Caenorhabditis elegans: one gene and its partner. The protein of the gene in region 1 interacts with the protein of each later gene in a pairwise test. Each region holds a gene or a part of one and is shown on either strand. Other genes may lie near its edges.

The links.
Region 2: the proteins of syg-1 (region 1) and anmt-2 interact in a two-hybrid assay, tested with the Caenorhabditis elegans proteins (one large-scale study listed by BioGRID).

What each region holds. Positions count from the first base shown.
Region 1 is NC_003284.9:2,509,225-2,516,942, reverse strand, and holds syg-1 (Synaptogenesis protein syg-1), read left to right. Parts: upstream 1-1,619; 5' UTR 1,620-1,633; coding exon 1,634-1,780; intron 1,781-1,981; coding exon 1,982-2,104; intron 2,105-2,675; coding exon 2,676-2,781; intron 2,782-2,913; exon of another isoform or gene 2,914-3,092; intron 3,093-3,281; coding exon 3,282-3,479; intron 3,480-3,526; coding exon 3,527-3,647; intron 3,648-4,508; coding exon 4,509-4,581; intron 4,582-4,634; coding exon 4,635-4,820; intron 4,821-4,944; coding exon 4,945-5,053; intron 5,054-5,168; coding exon 5,169-5,316; intron 5,317-5,373; coding exon 5,374-5,480; intron 5,481-5,528; coding exon 5,529-5,680; intron 5,681-5,725; coding exon 5,726-5,885; intron 5,886-6,081; exon of another isoform or gene 6,082-6,229; intron 6,230-6,380; coding exon 6,381-6,509; intron 6,510-6,560; coding exon 6,561-6,664; intron 6,665-6,838; coding exon 6,839-7,016; intron 7,017-7,072; coding exon 7,073-7,224; 3' UTR 7,225-7,630; downstream 7,631-7,718. UniProt on the Caenorhabditis elegans protein: Cell adhesion protein. Involved in synapse formation in the HSNL egg-laying motor neuron. Inhibits assembly of the SCF(sel-10) E3 ubiquitin ligase complex at synapses, and protects them from elimination.
Region 2 is NC_003281.10:6,154,247-6,159,429, reverse strand, and holds anmt-2 (Nicotinamide N-methyltransferase), read left to right. Parts: upstream 1-1,671; 5' UTR 1,672-1,701; coding exon 1,702-1,823; intron 1,824-2,511; coding exon 2,512-2,998; intron 2,999-3,584; coding exon 3,585-3,662; intron 3,663-4,189; coding exon 4,190-4,327; 3' UTR 4,328-4,586; downstream 4,587-5,183. Other genes in the region: rotr-1 (Nbl1_Borealin_N domain-containing protein), read right to left, coding at 4,697-4,846, 4,896-5,024, 5,138-5,183.

The DNA of each region.
Region 1 (7,718 bases):
AGACACCTCGTTTTTCGTTTTGGTGCCCAGAGATTATGTGTGTAACAAAAAATTGACAAATTTCTTTTGAAAACGGAAACTGGAAATTTGTTGTGAAAGTCTCATTTTTTCTAGAAGATTTCCACGGTTGGAGGAGTTACGGTTATTGGGATAAACCCAAAATGTGCTCAAATAAACGAATTTTGCTATAAAACTTCTCTATAATTAAAACAAATTCTTAGAAAAAATTCCTGATTTTTTCTAAAATCTCAAATTTTGGTAACTTTTCCATGTCGGAACGCATGGGAATTGCCTTTTTGTTTAAATTATCATCCTTTTTTGGTAGTTTATCTCAAGATATTTTGTTAACTAAGGAACATTCCAATCCAAATTTTATCATTTTTGGTAACATAAATGTACCATAATTAGCTGAAAAATGTGAGAAAAACTACCAAACAATGCGAATAAGAATGACTATTTAAAAAAGTCAATTTCCAAAGGGACCAAAATTTGAAATTTTTAACTGAACCATCATAAATTATTTTCGAGAAATATTGAAGAAGTTTCAGTGCGAAATTCTTTAATTATTTTGGGATATTTCGGGTCAGTCTGCTTTTAAATGTGATGGTGGAAACATAATATTACAGGGAAACTTTTAAGGAGCCTATTGTGAGCACCCAATTTTTGCAAGGCACTTTTTTCCAATTTTGTTCTGACCAAAACTATATACTTTACGATTTCCAAAAAGTCGAGTAATCTATAAATACCCGCTAACAAAATTTATACGGATTTTAAATTTAGAATATCACGAATAGAACAGAGTTGAACAAGAAGTGGAGTAGAGTGTCTTATCAATATTTTGTCAGTGCTTTGTCAGTGCCTTTTGTCAGTGCTTTGGCAGTGCCTTTTTGTCAGTGCTTTGTCAGTGCCTTTTTGTCAGTTCCTTTTTGTCAGTGCTTTGTCAGTGCCTTTTTGTCAGTGCTACACATGCACTTATCTGGTGGCCTTCTAGTTTATATCGGGCTTAGAGTTAGTGTTTTTCTAAGCCAAGAAGTGAAAATTAATTGTAAGTTTTGATTGAATTATCATTTTCCATAGAAATGAATGGAAAACACATAGGAAATTATTTTTGGGGCAGGTATACATACTACACAAGTACTAAAAAACAATATGAGAACCTACATAACTACTACTAACGACAATTCCCTCCAATCATCCCGTTAGACGATATTTAATGAGAGGCTGCATTGGGGGGACCCGCACCACCGCCTAAGTCCGCAGGGAGATTGACTCGCGCTAACTTTTTGCAATGTGAGAAACGTGTGTGTGTGTGTGCCTGTGTTTGCGTCTCGCCTCGACCACATCATCATTTCTTATCCCACAAAAATTTTGCTTCTCAACTTCTCAACTTTCTTTCCATCGTTTTTTTTTCTCTTCTCGATGATTGAGCATCAGAACAATAGGAAAATCATTTTGAAAATACATTTTGAACAGAAAGCTGTGCGTTAAGAATCTACATGTTAAGTTTCCTACTAGAAGCTCTAAATACTTTTTTAATAATGACTGTTCTCAATATTGCGTGTCTCTCTTTTCGGCCTTCCTTTTTGCAAAAACACATTTCCATGTTCACCACAATTGCTTTTCAGGCAGAAAGATGGTACGGTGGCAGACCTGGCCACTGTTGTTGTTGTTTCAACTGGTCACTTGCCAACAGTTACAACAACGAATAGTGGAAGCTCCGAAGGATACATTGGCAGCCGTCGGAGAAACAGCAATATTGACATGCAGAGTTGAACATCAAGTAAGTTGTGATGTGTGATTTGCAAAATTTTGAAACCTTCGACATTTCCACGCAAAAAAAAAATGAAGTGCGCGCAACTGGTCAAGAAACTCGGAAACTTCCCGGTTTCTGATTGAATTTCCTGCTCCACAGGTTCTAGAAAAATTCGATTTGCGAGAATGGCAAAAAGATGAAAAATTATTAAAAGATGATAATTTTCAGCAAGGGCCGGTACAGTGGATGAAAGATGACTTTGGGCTCGGAACGGATAGAGACAAACCACTTCCTGGAAATAAAAGATACAGGATGGTCGGAAGTGCGGCAAATGGGGAGTATAATCTGGAGGTTAGTTTTTTTTGGTACGAAAATTTGTTATGTATTTTTGTGAGGAGTTGGTTTGGTTTAACACGTCAGAATATCATTTAAAGAAATTCCTAAAAGTTTCAGATTTTTTCAAATATAGAGTCAACGTTTTGGTAAATTTTAATAAAAAATATGACCTTTTTGATAAATTTCGAACATTGCAGCAGGTGTGCTGCAGGTCGATGTCCGAAATTACAATAGATGAAAACAAAATGTTCACCTGTTTTTTAAACTGAAATTTCAAAAAACAAACTTCACAAATTTTTTAAAATTTTACTGTAGAACTTGGGCCCATTAGCACTGTTTGAGCGGTTCTAAAGAACCTCGTGATTTTTTCTGCTACCATAACATAGTTTGAACCAAAATATTCAGAGTTTAACGGGCTACAGTTCATCAATTTGAAACTATATTTTAGGCCTGAGTTTTATTGCTATGTTTTCTTTTGTCTGAAAAAAAAACTCTAAAAATTTCTCCTTAGGATTGGTTTTCTTGTAACAATTTTAAGAGTTTGGTACCTACTTAGATTTTTTTGCTAAACAAATTGAACTTCCAGATCTCCAATGTAACGCTATTCGATGATGATGATTTCGCTTGTCAAATCTCGGAATCCGATCACGCCAAAGCAGTTGTTTCGAGTAAAGCAAAGCTCACTGTGTTAGGTACGTTAAAAAAACACATAGCACTTGCACTAATCAACTGCAACATTACATCGTTGTTGTATCGTCTCAAAAAAGTCAAATTCACACAATCTCCTCCGGTTTTCTGAGAATGAGAACTTGCTTTAAAATTCGAGATGACAGATCGACAATTCGCGCGGCGGCTGCCAATTAATGTCTTCATAAACGTGCTGCCAGCGCCAATTTATCTCTCAAGTGGTTGTTGAGGGGGTACGCATCCGCGCGTACTTCTTGCCTCCTAACCATTCTCCGTTCTCTGATATGGCAGCTGCTCTTGGTGAAACCACACCGCCACCGGGGAGGACTGAGGCAACGAGGTTGTGTTGTAAATCTCATTGCGGGGTCATTATTCATAGAATGCGGTGGAATATGTTCACATTGAACAAAAAAAAAACGGGAAAATGAGATTCGGAAATTTGAAAAAATAAAAAGAAAAATGTTATTGAGCTGCTCATTATTTAATTTTGAATATTTTTTTTCAGTGAGACCGACGCCTCCAAAAATTGTGAAAAGCCATCATTCTCTGAAAGCAATTGCCGGCGATCCTATAACTCAATCATGTTTATCTCGAAAAGGAAAACCACCTCCAACGATAGGATGGGCAATTGCATCAGATGAGCATGGAAAGCACATTGTTTCATGGTTGGGCGAATCGCGCTCAAAATTCGGAGGAATTCATGGTAAAAAATTTCATATTGAAAATGAATTCAAAAAAAACCTATTTCAGCAAAACCAGAAATCTCTCAAGAAACCGTGATTGCACATGTAAATGAAACCACTCAAGTTGAAGAGGGCGGTAACAATTCACGAGAGGACTCTAGTATCTACAGTATTATGAGTAACTTGAGGTTGGTTACATGAAACATTTCAGTTAAAGCGGAGAGTAGAGTTGGCGGGTATTCTGCTGAAATAGACTAAAACGTGCCAAAAACGACCGAATTTCATAATGGGACGTCTCACAAATACTCGACAAATTTCTTAAAATTTCTTATGGCGTGTCAAAATTTCGAAAAAAAAGTGCCAAATTTTCCTGAAATCTCTTTTTTCCAAAATTTCGACCCGTAATGAAAATGTTTTGGAAGTTTTTCGAAATGGCTGATCAAGAAATGTGGCCGTTTTGGCAAATTCAAGCAAAATACCCACAAAATTGATTTATCCTTTAATTCTAGAATAGCAGTTTGCTGTTATGTTTCAAAAAAAAATTATAAAAAAGTGCCCCGGTAATTTGAAAAAAGTGTGTTATTTTTATAGAATGTTATTTTTCGATTGGTACTTGTGTAGTATACTTGGCCTAAATGATCAAGAAATGTGGCCGTTTTGGCAAATTCAAGCAAAATACCCACAAAATTGATTTATCCTTTAATTCTAGAATAGCAGTTTGCTGTTATGTTTCAAAAAAAAATTATAAAAAAGTGCCCCGGTAATTTGAAAAAAGTGTGTTATTTTTATAGAATGTTATTTTTCGATTGGTACTTGTGTAGTATACTTGGCCTAAATATACTAACCATTTTAAAAACTTCACGCGACCGTTTTGTCCGTTCATATTAAGCTTAGGATTAATGTATTTCAAAGCCTAAACATGCAAATAAATTTCACGTTTCGATTGAATTATCATTTTAAGTTGAAATGAATGAAAAAATGGCTACACAAAAATCGTTCAGTTAGAAAAAAAATTATTAAAAAATCAAAATTACGAAAACTTTTTTCAGTTTCATACCACGTCCCGAAGATGACCACAAATACTTGATCTGTATTAGTCAACACATGACGTTCCCTAATAAAGTAAGCGTGTTTATTGCTTTTTAATATTTTGTTTTATTCATTTTCTCTTCCAGATCGAGGTTGATTCTGTGAAGCTTTCTCTTCGATACGCGCCACAAATCAACTTAACAGTGGCATCAAAACTTCCGCTACGAGAAAATGGCTCAGCTCTTCTAGCATGCAATGTTAATGCAAAACCATTGGATAATGTGAAGATCAGCTGGTACAAGGGGAATCAAAAGCTGAGAGAAACTGGAGATGTAAGAGGAATTAGTGTTGCTCGGATTGTAAATTGTTGAGCCATTTATTATACTTAAAATTAATTGTGTCACATTCACATTTGACATTCAAAAACATTTCTCTATTCAGTTATTTTTATTTCAGACTCTAACATTCGAAACTCTCAAAATGGAGGATCATAATCGAGATATCTTCTGTGAAGCTACAAATGAAATTGGAACTACTCGCGGGTCGATTAAGTTGAATGTGGCATGTAAGTTGTTCATCTCTTTTCATTGGAAAAGAAGACATAAGAAGAAGACACCCAGTTTTTTTTTCAAACCTATATTTTCAAATTTATAAAATCATATAAAACCTAGTTCTTACAGTTGGTGCACGTATTATGTCGACGTCACAAGATAAAGAAGTAAATGAAGGGGACAATGCATTTTTTCATTGTGCAACTCTGGCAAATCCAGCTCCAGCGATTTTCTGGACTCGTGGAGACAGCGATGAAATTATTGGGCACGGTGAAAAGTATGTTGGAAAATTAGCATTGGATAATATGTATGATCATAACAAAATAAATTTCAGCTTGACGTTAGAGAATGTGAGAACATGGCAACAGGGTAACTACAACTGTACGGCTACAGTGGAAGGGTTTAGAAAACAAATTTTATCGCATTACCTTCATATCAGAGGTACGCTCGTTGAAATTAGGCGCTTGTAGTTTAACATAAAATGTTTAGGCCCACCAACGGTCTCCATGAAAGATGAAGTATCAGCTTCACTCGATGAAGCAACGGAGATCATTTGCGAAATTAGCGGCCGTCCGAAAACAAATAACGTTAGATGGACAGTAAATGGGAAAGAGATCAATTTTAATAATGGAAGAATTACGGTAGGGAATTTGAAGAGAAATTCTGAAAAAAACTAGATTTTTCAGGTTCACCAATATCCCAAGCCATATGGAAAAGAAAGTATTCTTAAAATCAAAGATTTGAAAGAAGAAGACTTTGGTGTTTATAATTGCTCTGCAAATAACGGGTTAGGATTTGACAACAGAGGCACACTGCTCAAGAAGAGAAATATTCTAGATTGGATTGGTTAGTTTTAACTTTTCTGGAAACTTGCGGAGTATAGGGCTTCCATGTGATGCAGGCGCGGTTTCAGGGCCTGGCACCTGCCTCCAACCGTCCGGCCTCACGCCTCCTTTCAGAACTATGGTGAGAAGTCAAAGACTTGGTGTTCCCACCACATAATGCAATGGGTGTTTCTTTCGCCGTGACTGACACTTTTCGGGTCCCGCGTCGCACTATACAAGAGACGTAGCTCTTGGCGCAAGGCAGGCAGAGGTCGCCGCAAGGCGTGCAGGCGTTTTGGTGCCTGCATGGAAGCGGTAGTAAAGTATCTACCTGTAGTTCCTGGCCCAAAAATGTTAACCATTTTGAAATTTTCATGTGACCCTTTTTGTCCATATTAGGCTAAGGTTTAGTGTTTTTCTAAGCCAAAAAATTCAAATCAAATTCACGTATCGATTAAATTAAGATTTTACGAAGAAATAAAGGGAAACAAAATTTATAACAATTTCCGACTTTCAGTAATAACAGCAAAGTTCGATAGAATGGTTGCACTTGCAATTATAAGTGCAGGTGTTCTTTTGGTGTCACTGCTCTGCTGCCTCTGCATGTGCAGAAGTAATTGTCGGTCAAGAAAGTCAAAGTTTATTGGTGAGTTATTATCAACAGGTGGTTGAATCTATAAATTGACAACAATTTCAGATGATCAATCTGACGTCACAGTGAAATGTGAGGCATTGGATGGACAATATTTCCCAGAGATGTATAGTAGCAGCCCCGTTGACAATGTTCATCTCTCCACGAAGGTTGGTCAAAAGTTGGACAATATGAAGAAAAATTCGGTTTATATATGTATTAGTCTAGTGTTTATAGCAGATCAATTTTTAAAATCGTAGGGATTATTTGACGATAGTTTCAATTTTTTTGAGCCCCCTGATATCATATCACCATTCAAAGAATAAAACCAATTTATTTCACAGGATTACATCTCGATTCCTCAAAACAATCCGGATTTGGATTTCCTCGGTGCAACCGGATCATTCGGGCCACCGGGAGGGCTGTATCCAAAATGTTTCAACAACTCGGCCAATGAATACATCTACAACCGGTATGAACATTCATATGGATCGTTTGGCAGTGGACTTTCCACGCCTGGAGGTACTAACCCTAACCAATAACACCGTGTGCATAACTCATCCTCATTCTCATTTCAGGAGTTTCAGATATGTACGGCGTGGCGATGAGCGACAAATTGCCGGTTATGGAGACGCTACAGGAAGTGGAGACTCCCAAAACGTCCAACTACAACTTCCTCTCGTCGCCGGAAGTGGTCCGACCAATTAGTCGAACATCAACTCATGTGTAGATACATACTTGAAATTTTCCTGGTGCCATCTAAAACTAGAATTTGTTTTGTAAATCTTTTTTAAATCTTTTGATTTTTTTTTCCAAAAAAAAAAGACCGCCGCCAACGTTTTGAGGTCATCAATCACCTAAATGATGTTTTGTGTCATAAGGTGGCGTTCTTCAGCAGTTTTTGACATGTTCATTCTCATTTTTATCTTATTCAAAACGGGTTTTACTTGCCATTCTCATTTTTCTCACCATCCCATCCCTTTTCCACTCACGAGAAGCCTAATTGACCCCCCTCCATCCCACATTGATATTTCAATGACCTATAAATTATTTTCACTTGTATTTTTTTCTCTCTCTCTCTCGTTTGTTTGAATGTTTTCTAGTCATCCGAATTTGCATAAACAATTTTCCATACATACGTGAGATTACATTCATTAAAATTTTGATGCAGATGCATTGAGCCAGATGAAGAACTTGTTCATTTCTTGCATGATTTGCAAGTTT
Region 2 (5,183 bases), on another chromosome or scaffold:
CGAGGAACTCTATGCCAACTGTCTGTCTCACAAGAAGTGTTAGAACATATGAGAGGAAGGAGAGGCATTGGAACTAACAACAAGAGAAGATGATTGGAAGAGAGGACGAAACAATATTTCAACACTCATAATGATGATAGGTATGGAATCCCAGGTGCATTCATTGAAGAATAACTGATAAAAATATTGAAGAACAATGATTCAATGCCCCCAACTGATATGACGCATTGTGAAAATATGTGGCCTGGTCTCGTGTGAACAAGAATTTTCAGTTTTTCGATAAATAAAATAATGTCAACACGCCCTTTCCTCCTCCATCGTTTTTCTCCAAATGGTTTCGATACAAAAGTTACATCGACTGACGAGATTCAAAAAGATTCGCAGTCAGCAGGATTCGAACCTACGCGGACAGAGCCCATTTGATTTCGAGTCAAACTCCTTAACCACTCGGACATTCTTAACCACTCGGACATGACTGCACGTTTTGGTTTATTATCAAGTATATTTTCATTTTGTACAATTTCGAAGTTACAACGAAAAAAATGTGCGAAAAAATTGAAAAAAATTTAACGCAGTCAGCAGGATTCGAACCTACGCGGGCAGAGCCCAATTGATTTCTAGTCAATCTCCTTAACCACTCGGACATGACTGCACGACGAACCACAACTTTCGTGGCCTAGACATGCCGGGTGTTACGCATAATAGGAGGAGGGGATGGGGAGAAGTGGTCAATGGGGGGAGATGAAAGGGGGAATAGGGACAGTATAGAAAAATTCACACAATCGGTATTTTTCGATTGACTTATTATTATATTTTCAAAAGAGACATCAGTGTGAAGTGGGGCGCACTTGTGTAAGCAAAATGGCCAACAAAAATTCGAAAACTTCAGTAACTTTTCGATTAACCTCCCTATTCCTTTGAAGTCATATAATTTTCGAATGAAGTTTAAGTACATTTTTTCCATATTGAAAATTCAAAAATTCCAGAAAGATGAAATCCAGAAAAATGTTTCGAAAGTACAGTGTACTGATAGTGAGCTACAGTACAATTTTCGTAAGTACGCTCGATGGAACCTACTTTCCCTTAAATTTACAGTAACGCATTAAAGTTCTGCAAAGTTTCATAACCAATCTGCCAAAAAACTTCCTCATAACATAATTTGTTGTTTCCCATCTTTCCACTTTGCTCTTCGTACTCTGTGCCTGCTCCCACTGTCTGGCTCCCAACACTTCCTGCCGGGAGCCTCGGGAAATCCCTTCTTCCCTCTCTCTCTCTCTATCCTTCTCTCCCAGAGCTCCGAAAAAATAGGCGGAGCCAGAGCACACACTTATGCTCTCGCTCTCTGTGCAAGAGCCACCTCACTCAATTTTTGTGCTACTTCGAGAGTGTCGATGCCTCATTTGTTAATTGTTTGTTATTTGATGATGATAATGAATTGTTGTATCGATATTTAATTGCACTCTGCGTGGGTGTTATCACTTAAATATTAGAGTTTTTCTGGAAAAAAGGAGTAAACTTAAGAATTTTGGAGATTTTGAGGGAAAAACAAACATGTGAAAAGCGGAAGAAAATAGAGATATACATAGACTTTTAAAAGTGCTTTGTTTCCTTGTTATATTTCTGATTTTTTTTTTCAAAAATTTGGACTCAAAAAAATTAAAATATTTTCAGTGTCGTTTAATCTCTTATTTATACCTCGTCATGTCTACTCTCATCGACCCTACCATTACGGAATCATCGGATGCCCAGCATACTGTACTTTTGCCTGAGGACTACGTCAAGAAGTTCGATCCTGATGAGTATTTGCAGTTTTATTTCAGCAGGTTAGTCAGAAATCTTTGATATGTCGCAACGACCGTTCGATGTAACCCATGAGATGTCGGCCTCCCACCAATGAACACTTTCTGAGCCCCTTATCATGTAGGCTGCTTCAACAAACATGTCAAGCTACCATTTTCCAGAAATTGGTTATGAAACCCGTAAAATGTCGGTTGCCGCAATTTTTTAATGTTTTGAATCCAGTATTATGTCGGTTGTTATAATCTTGCGCGCGAGGTTGCCGCCACAAAACTTGGAAGAAACATTTTTCATAAATAACGGGCTTCAATTTCTAGAACTTTCGATCCCGATTTGCACTTTCTATCCGCTCTCGATACCGTTCACTTCATTTTTGACACAAAAACGAGTGGTTTGTTCACAAACAAAACCTCTTATCCCCGGCTTGCTTTGGCTTTGCTCCTGTTGCTGCTGCACACGAAATCGGTCGCAGATCGGTTACCTTTTTCTCTTTTTGAGTAGGAGAGGATCTTTTGTGTCAAGAGATCGAAAAAACTGAGAAAAGAGGAGGGAGGCATCATTGGCTCTTAGACTCTAAACTTTTGAAAATGAGACGACACATTTTTGGGTGCTATCAAGTCAAGTACCTGTCTGACAAGGAACGAACAATCCAAGGGAGAGAGTATAAACATCAGACATTCCATATATATCCAAAATTTCATTTCTCATTTCCAGAGATGCTATTGAAGATGGAACCCGTGTTTCCCTATTCGCACTTCCTGTCTTCGCCCAACTTATGCTCCAAACTATGCGACCTTCTGAACGTGAAACTCTTCTGGATATTGGAGCAGGACCAACCGTCTATTCGGCTCTTTGTTTCCGTGATGTGGCAAAGCGTGTTCACTTATCAGATTTTGTCGATCGGAACCTTGACGTTCTGAGAAAATGGATCCGCCACGAGGAGACTATTGACTGGGTGCCAACTATCAAAGTGATCAACCGAACGGAAGGAGGTCCCACTCCAACAGATCAAGTATGCATTGATGTTGAAGAAAAAGCCCGCGGATTGGTCAAGTCTGGTGGAATTCATTTCGCAGATGTTCACCAGATGGATGTGGTCCCTGAATTGGCTGGGAAGAAGGTGGATATCCTGGTGTCGATCTTCACGTTAGAAAGTGCTTGTCGCAACTATGAAGAGTATTGTAAATGTGTCACTAATATGGTAAGTCTAAATGGATTTTTGCGGTTTAGGCTTAGGCTTAAGCATATCGTTCGTTTTAGGAGCTTGATTATGCCATTAAGGTTATTTTACACGTCTCTTCTAAAATAGTTTCTGAAATCCCAGTACTGAAGATAGATCTTGGTTCACATTTCTTTTTCTCCATTTCTAAGTTCAAAACACGAATTTCTTTCGAATAGAGAACAATAAAATTGTAAACTACAGTAAACTACTAGCTCAAAGAGTTATTGTAAGTGTAATTCGATCTATTTTATTCTCCAGTAACAACTTCGTCATAACTTTCTTTTCATATTCCTATATCTCTTCACAATCAGTGTTCACTTCCCCTTTACACCCGTTCTCTATTTCTCTGTCTATCTTATATCCAATTTTCACGGTGCCAACGAAGAAAATGAAAAAAAAAAGAGTTTAGAAACAGATGTCTTTCATCTTTTCCAAGATGTAAAGTGTGTCGTTTTTCGGAAAAAAAAGAAATGAGAATGAGCCAACGACTGAATGGCACCAGATTTGATAGTTTGAAATGAGAAAAAGTGAAATCAAAATGTGTTTTGATTTTGTGTGATTCCAGATGAGACATCTCCGTTCCGGCGGTCGTTTTGTGCTTGGTTCGGTGCTCGAGGACGATGAGTACAACTCGGGAAGAAAGGTAGGAAAGGGCCAATTGATCTGGTAATTTGATCTGTGCTCTTGCGATTTTAACGGGGTCAGTTTGTGTGATTGCGTCAATGATGCAGGTATATATGATAGCTAGAGAAGTTTTATTGGTTTTAGGCGATGGGAATGAGGATTGAAGGATACAAATTCAGACTTGTGATAGAACATATCTTTTTGAAACAGTGCTAGTATTTTTTTTTTCTGAAATATTAGACGTTTAAGCGATACATTAACTTCGAAAACGGAGCAGTGGGGCCGCAAGACTAACATGTTACTGTACTTAAAATTAAAGGAAAAACCGATAAACCGTTTTCTCGAGGATGTTTCTTGTTTTTCTTTTTACTTCCTCTTACTTTTACCCGCTCTTAGCATATTTCCAAACTTTGTACAAAATTTAAAAAAAAAACATATGATTGTTTTTTCGCGCGGCGAGACCCAACTGTATAAATAGACCTGCATTAAAATTCGTAGCCAAAATACTCGTATGTATATGCCAACAAAAAAAATCAAAATTTACAGACAATCTTCCATCTCCTCAATCTCAGTGAACAGATGATTCTTGATGCTCTTGTATCTGTTGGTCTTGATGTTGCCAATGCAAAGAAATACGTTTTGGACGGAGAAGGTGTCATGTTCATAATGGCTACGAAGCTCTAAACTTGTTGTTTAATTAGATTCCCCACTCGATCATTTGTCAGTATTGATGAAGTCACTAGGCGTATATCAACAAAAAAGTACTGTACTCGGCTTTAGGTCTCTTTCACTTCTTTTTTTAATTGTGCACTATATTCTTTTCATATGTTTCGCTTTTTAATTGTAAAATGGTCAGAATTCATCCGTCCTCTGCATGTTGTATTTCGAGCTTACTGGTTTGCTTAATATTGATATAATAATAATAATAAATCTGTAGAAATTGAGAACTGAATTAAAAGTGGAGCATCAGTAGAAAAACGTTTGAAATCATCCAAAACCGAGGTAAGTGCTTAAATATAATAAAAGTGTGTTTCATATTCATCAATTTCAATTTCAAACTTTCTGAGTTCCATCATCGCTGGGCGGAGAACGATCGAGTCCCAACAATAGATCATCTCGATTTGGAGATGCAGGAGATCTAGAAGAAGGACGTGGCTTTTTGGAAAATGAAACATCTGATTCTTCTGATTCTTCACGACGACGCTATAAAAATTTCATTTAGTTATATTTTTTGATGGAATATTTAGATTACCGCTTTCAGTAAAACCCTTTTCACTTCATGAGCTGAGTTTCCAAGTTCTAGCAAATTGAACGCCGATGATATCATTTTCAGATTGGGTGGTGCGTACATTGAGATGTAGTTGCAAAATTGATTCAGGATCTCAAAAATATTTTTTAGGAACAATTAATCCAGAGAATCTGAATTAGGTGCCTTCAACCAAATCCAAAGAATACATACACTCTCGTTTCTCTGCAGTAACCGTTATTCCTCACCTGTGTCAATGTATGAAGCCTGTTAATCTCTTGAACGTCATTCTTG